Linked DNA regions of Cricetulus griseus. The protein of the gene in region 1 purifies or fractionates together with the protein of each later gene. This does not show direct contact. Links are inferred from orthologs where the notes say so. Each region holds a gene or a part of one and is shown in the gene's direction. Other genes may lie near its edges.

Region 1 (3,920 bases):
CTTGTGTTGGTGCCTTCTCCCCGAAAAGAAATTATATTAATCTATATTGAGCCTAGTCCTGTGAATCTTGATCCGTGCATCCTTAGTCCTCCAAACAATCAATGAAACTTCTAAATTGCTTTGTACCAGATGGTTATCTGTACTGAAGAAGTTAAGGGACACAATAAAGTCAATGGATACTAGTTCCATAAACCATAGAAGTATTGCAGACCTATTATTTTAAAAATCATAAATGTACCTACTTGATGAGTGTGAATTTTTGTATACTTAATGCATTTTATTATATTTATTTAATTATTATATTTATTTAATTTATTTATATTTATTTAATTATTATATTTATTTTAATTATATTTATATTAATAATTATATATTGTATTATATTTATTTAATCTTTCATTTAAAACTTTGATCATTTTTCAAAACAAACTTTCTGACATCCTTAAATCAAGACTTACAGACATGGGAGGTTCAAATATAGAAAGATTAATGTGTATGGTAGGAGTAGGGCATAAAGCTTCAGTATTGCTTTGTCATCAAGTTGGCTCTAAGTTTACAAGCAGCAGCCAAGTATAGACAGAAATAAGAGGATTCATAAAGCTCCCCTTTCTTTTTAAAAAGATTTTATTTATTTATTATGTATACAACATTCTGCTTCCATGTATATCTGCACACCAGAAGAGGGCACCAGATCTCATAACGGATGGTTGTGAGCCACCATGTGGTTGCTGGGAATTGAACTCAGGACCTCTGGAAGAGCAGTCAGTGCTCTTAACCTCTGAGCCATCTCTCCAGCCCCAAAGCTCTCCTTTCTTGTTCAGAAAAGAAAACAAAATAATAAATGTAGCTAGGAAATCAGTTTTCCTGGTACTGAATCCTAAGAGTAATTTATTGTATAAGTTGTTTTGCAGTTGGCTTCCATCATTATAATAAAAATACCTAACATAACCAACTTACAAAGATAAAAAGTTTATATTGACTCAGTTTTGAAGGTCTTAGTCTGTAATAGATTGGCCTTACTCTTTTGGACCCCATGGTTAAGTCAGTACATCATGGAAGAGTGAAATTACTCACAAGAAGAAGGAGTGACTGGTGTCCCACAATGCCCTCAAGGGCACATCCAGAATGAAGTAAAGACTTCCAATGAGGCCTGTTACTTAAAGTTTCCACTAGCATAATAGTGGCACTGTGGTTACCTTGCCTTTAGTATGCTGGTTCCCAACCTGTGGGTCGCAACCCTTTTGGGGGTAAACAACACTTTCACAGGGGTTGCATATATCCGATTTTGACATTGTAATTCATAACAGTAGCAAAATTACAGTTATGAAGTGGCAACAACAGTTTTATGGTTGGGGAGGTCCCCACAACATGAGGATCTGTATAAAGGTTTGCAGCATTGAGAAGGTTGAGAACCATTGCTTTTAGCAATTGGGCCTTTGGGAGATTGTCAAGACTCGTGCAAAATTACAAATAACTTGTGTAGTTGGAAGCTTTTCTCATCCTGCCCACCAGTTCCCAAATAACCACTCTAAAGCTTAATATTAATTATAATTGCTTGTCTGATGGCTCAGGCTTCTTACTGGCTAGCTCTACATATAAATCAACCCATTTCTATGTTCTATATTTTACCATGAGGCTCGTGACTTGTTACCTCACACCTTGCTTCCCCAGCGGCTACATGGCATCTCCCTGACTTGGCCTTCTTTATCTCTGTAACTCTGTTTGGGTTTCCTGCCTAGCTATATTCTACCTGGCCATTGGCCAAAACAGTTTTATTCATCAACCAATAAAAGCAATACATCTTAACAGCATACAGAAGGACATCCCACATCAAATTTGTGTTTTGTGAGGGATATAGAGAAGCCTATCACATGGCAGTTTCATGTTTGACAATAAAAACTGGTTTTTAATTATTTTTGAGACAGGGTTTCTTTGTGGCTGTTCTGGATTTCACTCTGGGCTCATCCTGTCTCTGCCTCCAGAGTGCTGGGATCAAGGGTGCTCTAACACACCCAACTCAGAAGCAAATGTTTAAACTCATTTAGCAAGACATTAAAAAAAAATTACATCCTAATCAGTGAGGTAACTTGACTAAGTAGGTATTCTAATTGAAGCTATCCATGGGGCTTTGGTCCTACTAAATACAGGAAGGTCCAGAACCTACCACCCTGCAGGCTCCAGTCTTTGTTAAACTAGATGGACACTTCTGAGCAGAATATCAACTGAGACCTGGTAACTGTGAACACCTTGAGAAAGAGAGGAGAGGAAAGGAGAGGAGAGGAGAGGAGAGGAGAGGAGAGGAGAGGAGAGGAGAGGAGCATGGAGGTAACATAAACAGATGTTAATTCACCCATTTTTCCTTCCCTAGTACTTTGGAAGTGTTGTGGACATCATCCAGAACCATCAGCACAACCCCCTGGTTCTTATTGACAGTCAGAATAACACAAAGGATTCTACAAGACTGAAATATGCTGTGAAAGTTTCATAAAGAAAGAGACATCGATCCCACTGTTTTAGACATTTCCTCCATTTCTTCTTTTGAGAAAACTTCATATTCTGTATCTGAATCATCAGCAATAGCAGAGAAGATGAATGAAGCCACTGAGGTGGTAAACTTCACTCCTTCATAAGATGCTCACATCAACTTTTCTAGTGCCTGACCTGATGAAGTGATAGCTGGGGAAGTTCAGTTATTACGCTACTAATATTCTCCAAATAAATGTATTTAAAAGAAACAGGTGTAATGCATTTTCAGTCATGTAAGAAAACAACACTGTATTTTTAACTGAGAAAATCATACTCTCGGATGCAACAAAGCTGCTGGGAGTTTAGGCCTGTCAGCAATCACTGCACCTGAATGTAGCCAGGCTGTCTACCACTGGTGCACGACAGTTATGTCTTAGTTAAACTTTTTTTTTTTTCTTTTTGAGACAGGGTCTCACTACGTAGCTCTGGCTATCCTGGAACTCTCTTTTTCTGTAGATCAGGATGACCTCAAACTCACAGAGATCCACCTGACTCTGACTTTCAAGTGCTGGGATCAGAGGTGTGCACCATCATACCCGGTTTTAGTTAAACAGCATGGCATGTTTTTATATGTCAGTTTCATGACTACTAAATTATGGGTTGAATTGTGTCTAAGGCCTTACAGATAAAAAGTCAAGTTAAGATGGGGTCAGTAAGGTACCCATCAGGCGACCTGTTGACATGTTCCTTATGAGGGAAAGAGCTGTGACTACAGGTGCAGTCATGCATAGCGAGAAAGAAGAGGCATCAGAGGAGGACACCATGTGAAGACTGGAACTGTGCACTCACAAACCAAGGGATGCCAACGATGGCTGCCAAACCAGCAAAGGCCAAGCAAGGGCAAGGGCAGATCCCCTCCAGGTTCAGAGGAAACATCGGCCCCTTTACACCTTGGCTTCAGACTTCAAGCATCTAGATCTGGGGGTCAATGAGTCAGATTGTAGTGGTCTGTGGTAATAACAGCCCTGTGAAATGAATACAATTCACAGACACTTTTTACAAATAACATCTTACATGTGTATATACACCAAAGTTTTGAAAATCTGGATAGAACATGTTTTCTCTGATAAAAAAAAAAAAGTGGACTTGCTTGGAATGTACTAGAAAGAACAATTTACAATAAGGAAGACTGAGGCAATCTTTTACAAAGAACACCTGCTGATGACAGGAAGTACAGGCACCCTCTGTGTTTTGCTCAGAGCTACATGGAAATAGTTTTTACTGTAAGTAAATCTTCATTCATTTCTTCTGTTACTGCAGTTATCATCCTTGTTCTCAGAGCAGTCTCTTTTGCTCTGTCTCCAACTGTCCTTCAGGTGGCACTTTCCAACAAGATGAAGAAGCATAGCTTTTTTTTTTAAAAAAAAAAATACATGTCTATGCAAATCCATAGT
Region 2 (4,856 bases), about 250 Mb from region 1:
GCCATCCTCAAAGGCCAAGAAGGCTTTGGCTGTGCATCTCCCACCAGGTGTATCTTGTGTATCTTGCCAGCTGCCCTGAGCTTCAAGCAGGGGCTTGGACGGAACCCTGGCCACTGTGCCAACCAAGCACAATATCAAAAGAAAATCATTTTAAAGTTACAACCTCCCCTCGCCCCCCCCCTTTCAAGAGGTGGGCTACATGGCAGGAGAAAGGGAAGTGTGGTCACATCCGGTTCCAAGACCCAGTTCAGTCTGAACTGTGGCTGTGGTCTTGACATCTTGTACCCGGAGAAAGCAGTACAGATGGTGCCCGTTTGCAGACACCCTTCTCCTCCTGGCGGCTGGGGCCTGACTAAGCTATTCTCAAGCTCAGAGCATTTGGGTGTTGCTTGCTGAATGCTGAGATTCAATCTTTCTTGATTTAGCAAATGCAGAGGCCTCACACTTCCCCAGATCTCATAATCAGGGGGTGTGAATTGCCTGAAAGTGGGGAGGGCGGCAAGGCTGGGGAGAATGAGGCTTTAAACTGGAAGAGTCACACCCCCGGGTGCTGTGTCAGCCTGGAACACACCCTCTCTGGGGCCTAAGGTTTTGAATCACTGCTTCCTCCTGTAGTGTGAGGACTGTGCTGTTCAAGTGTCTCTGTTCAAGGGTGCTTCTGTGTTGTCACCTAGTGAATTGGAGTCTTCAGTTCATCTGCAGATGCCTGCTGGACCTCAGGCTGTCTGTGTTGACTCATCCCACACGGCTACCATTGCCTACCATTCCCTTCTCAGGCCTGGGATGTCAATGCCACCTGATAATATCAAATAGTGTTTTAAACCTGGCCCTGGTATTGGGGAACGGGTAAGAAAGTGAAGAAGAACATGGAGAGTTGAAGCATTCCTAATCTTTCATGTGTGCTCTGGAAGGTTTTGTTAAAATGCCCACTGAATTCCCCAACCAAACCACACCTGCACCCGTGGTTTAAAAATGGAGGTGAGACTGGCTCATACCTTTAATCCCAGCACTCGGGAGGCAGGAGGAGCTCTGTGAGTTTGAGGCCAGCCTGGTGTACAGAGTGAGTTCCAGAACAGTCAAGGCTACACAGAGAAACCCTGTCTCAAAAAACAAAACAAAAATGAAGATGAGCCTAGGGGCCTCATAGATACCCAAAGCCTGTGCCTGTTGCTGGCTCACTGGCTCTGGTACTGAGCCTTCCTGGGACCTCGAGGTTTGGGTGCTGCCTGCCAAGCATGTGCCCACTTGCTGGTTCTGGTGAGCACTTGTGATCCACTGTGGCTAGGGTACTGTTTCCTGGGCCAGAGGGTCAGAGTAGGGGGTGATCCTGTGTCTTCTGTCTACAGGATCAGGGCTCGAGACAACAATGGCTCTTATGCACTGTGCCTGCTGCACGAAGGGAAGGTGTTGCACTACCGTATTGACAGGGACAAGACAGGGAAGCTTTCCATCCCTGAGGGGAAGAAGTTCGACACCCTCTGGCAGGTGCGTATATATCTGTGTGTGTGTGTGTGTGTGTGTGTGTGTGTGTGTGTGTGTGTGTGTCTGTCTGTCTGTCTGTCTGTCTGTCTGTCTGTCTCTCTGTCTTTCTCTGTCTGTCTGTCTGTCTGTCTGTCTGTCTCTCTGTCTTTCTCTGTATGTCTTTCTGTCTCTGTCTTTCTCTCTCTCTCCCCTCTGAAGGGCACAATGCAGGCCCATGTGGCTGCTAGTTCCAAAACTCTTAGAAAGAAGGGGAGGGACGAGACTATCTGTCCCATCCACTCTCTGATTTCTAAATGGCGTGTTTGAGAACATCAAGTCAGAGAGGCTGCAGAGTTTCCATCTAGAGCTATTAAGTTCTTGGTGCCTCAAGATCATGTGTTTCAGGGCAGTGTCTGGAATTTAACAGAAAGTCCTGCCATCAGGGAATAGCATTACACATAATCACAGATGACCAAAGAAAAGAACCTAGGGGTTGTGACCCAGCTGGTCCTGGAACTGTGAGATGCCCGGATGACACTAGGGTGGATAAGCCATATGGGGACTACCCTCATAGCAGAGCCCCCATGGGAAGTTAAAGCAACTGAGGGGGGGAGCATCTCTACTCTTTCTAGGCTCCAGGCAGCTAGCTGCCTGTCTAGGAACTCTGCAGGCCTGCTCTGCAAAGGGTTCATTCTCAACCTCGCTGTCATTAAACCTAGAGACAACTCAAGCGTGTAGAGGCACCCAACGTTGTTCACCCAGATCCCCTCAATTACTACTAAGCACATGTTGCTTCCTTAATTTGGCATCATAGCTACACTTACTGTGATGGACCAAAAGTTGAAGGCCAGCCTCAGGTACATAGTAAATTCGAGGCCAGCCTGGGCTACCTAGCAAAATCCTATCTCAGCAAACAAACAACCAAGCCAACAAAGGACTAGAAGATGGGGGTGGAGACTTCAGATCACTAATATATCGCCATCTGTCTGTGTGATGGTTAGTTTTAATGGTCAATTTGACACACACTAAAACACCCGAGAAGAAAGTCTCAATGAAGGATTGTATAGACCAGATTAGAGCATGAGCGTGTCAGTGGGAACTGTTTTGAGCGCATTAATTGATGTGGAAAGACCTAGGCTGTGGTGGGAGGCACTGGCCCCTGGGTTGGAGTCCTGGTCTGTGTAAGAGTGGCGGATGTGCCTGGAGTGGTGGCGCACGCCTTTAATCCCAGCACTCAGGAGGCAGAGGCAGGCGGATCTCTGTGAGTTCGAGGCCAGCCCGGTCTCCAGAGCAAGTGCCAGGATAGGCTCCAAAGCTACACAGAGAAACCCTGTCTCGAAAAACCAAAAAGAAAAAAAGAAGAGTGGTGAATGTTAGCTAAGCAGTAAACAGCATGTATCTATTCACTCTCCATTCTTCATTATGGATATGACCCACTGCTTCAAGGCTAAAAATTTGTTGGCTCTACCCAAGGACATCTGAAGCCCATCTCCCAGGTGCCCTGTGGAAGAGACTGTCTGGGGTTTCAATGGCTTTAAAGTCAGTGAGAGTCATGATTCTGTCACTGTCTCCATTTCCCTCCCTCTACTAAGCACTTTCTTCCTTGCTTCCCTTGCAGCTGGTGGAACATTACTCTTACAAGCCAGATGGACTGCTAAGAGTCCTCACCGTACCATGTCAAAAGATAGGCGCACAGATGGGTGAGTGACTGGGACACAGAGGGTCTGCTTTGGGGGAAACTGATCACTGTCAGCCTGGTGTCGGATTTGTCTCTTCCACACTCAGATGAGGCTTCGATTTTTACCACGTGATTAAGCTCAATGTCACTGCAATTCTAAGAATCATTAGTTGAAGGATAACTAATCACTATAACTTTTAAAGGAAACTAGTGGATTTTTAATTGCCACCAGGGATGGTGGCACACACCTTTAATCCCAGCATTGAGGAGGCAGAGGCAGGCAACCTGTGTGAGTTCAAGGCCAGCCTAATCTGTATAGTGAGACTCTGTCTCAAAAAAATATTATTTAATTGAAGGTGTAAAAAACCCAGTAAAAGAGAAAAGCATTGATGCAGAAAGTTTACACTCTCCTCAGTATGTTCCAGTCATCTTGACTGATCTGACAAGTAGATGGTATGCACGAACACCACTGTAATTGTCTAACTGTCACCATGGCTTACTCTTCTTGCAGGTCACCCACAAAGTTCAAATGCCCACTCTGTGGTGAGTATTATTATAGGTCCCTCTGCTGGGGAAGCAATTGTGTCTGAGTACACAACTGGGTTTTAGTTAGCACAGGTTCTGAACTCCAAAACAGCCCTGAAGACCTGGGAACTCCAGCGAGTCTGGGAAGGCGCCTGCCTGTGGCCACTGCTAAGCTAGCCTATTTTCATGGCTTCTTGGCTGGCTTACTTTCTCCTCATGCTCTGTAAGTATGCAGGATGAGGAAGAAACCCACTGTTAGATCAGAAAGGCCTCCTGTCACATGTAGAAAAAGGAGACATATTGTTCAAGTTCAGTCTGTACAAACACGTGTGTGCTGCCCATAGGCCTGCCGACCTGCATAGCAGCAGGGCAGGGCCAGCAGATGGGTATCTCCTTGAGTTTAGCAACTCAATTCTTTTGGCCAAACCAACTGACACAGAATTACGAGGGACTTGACCTCCTGGGTAAATCATTTTGACTAATGATTAGGGGAGGGAGGATGTGCTTGGTAAGAGCTCGAGAGAAAGGTCCAGAGAAGGAAAGAGTCTGGGAGTCTTGGCCAGAGCGCACACCCCACTCCATGTCACTCAATGAGACTGTGCCCTCGATGTCCTTGTGTTGGATTACCACTTTCATCTTCATGCCCAGAAAGAGAAGGGAATCTCAAGCTCCTTCTCCATCCAGGATGTCAGAGTTGGTACTTAGATGTTACTCAGCAGGAGCTGGCTTTCTCATGTCTTGGAGACTTCATTGTGGACATCCCAGCCCGTTAGCATCACCAGGGGATAATTCCTGACTTTTGCCCTGCTAACTCCTAAAACACAAAGTCTACCAAAAGCCAAACACCTGTTCTGTCTCCAGTTGGCCACTCAGTACTGACACTGTTGATTCCACAGTCAGCACCTGTTACCAAACTGAGAGACCTTGAATTGGCTAAAATATCAGCAAACTTGGGGGTCCTCTGAAACATAGTCCCACCGGCATGGGGTCCTCATGTTTCTCAGGGACCTGGTGTTTATCACTGGGTGCCCTTGAGACAGAGCTGCTGTCCCTCTCAGGCATGTTCAGCTTGTGACCTGAGGGCTGCCTGTGTCCCAGGACTTGTAGATGACAATGTCATGTTGCAACCAGTGCCACTGAAGCAGGCAGTGACTAGAATCTCTTGTGGAGCCTGAGACACAAGATTTCCACA

Evidence for each region. The genes of interacting proteins can lie anywhere in the genome.
Region 2: the proteins of Blnk (region 1) and Syk purify together in Homo sapiens (affinity purification with western blotting; 3 studies listed by BioGRID and IntAct, with this or other methods). This does not show direct contact. The link is inferred for Cricetulus griseus from reciprocal best matches to the Homo sapiens genes BLNK and SYK.

What each region holds. Positions count from the first base shown.
Region 1 is NC_048596.1:20,642,207-20,646,126, forward strand, and holds the end of Blnk (B-cell linker protein), read left to right. Parts: intron 1-2,368; coding exon 2,369-2,488; 3' UTR 2,489-2,735; downstream 2,736-3,920. UniProt on the Homo sapiens protein: Functions as a central linker protein, downstream of the B-cell receptor (BCR), bridging the SYK kinase to a multitude of signaling pathways and regulating biological outcomes of B-cell function and development.
Region 2 is NC_048596.1:271,551,921-271,556,776, forward strand, and holds part of Syk (tyrosine-protein kinase SYK), read left to right. Parts: intron 1-1,346; coding exon 1,347-1,485; intron 1,486-3,079; coding exon 3,080-3,161; intron 3,162-3,650; coding exon 3,651-3,682; intron 3,683-4,856. UniProt on the Homo sapiens protein: Non-receptor tyrosine kinase which mediates signal transduction downstream of a variety of transmembrane receptors including classical immunoreceptors like the B-cell receptor (BCR).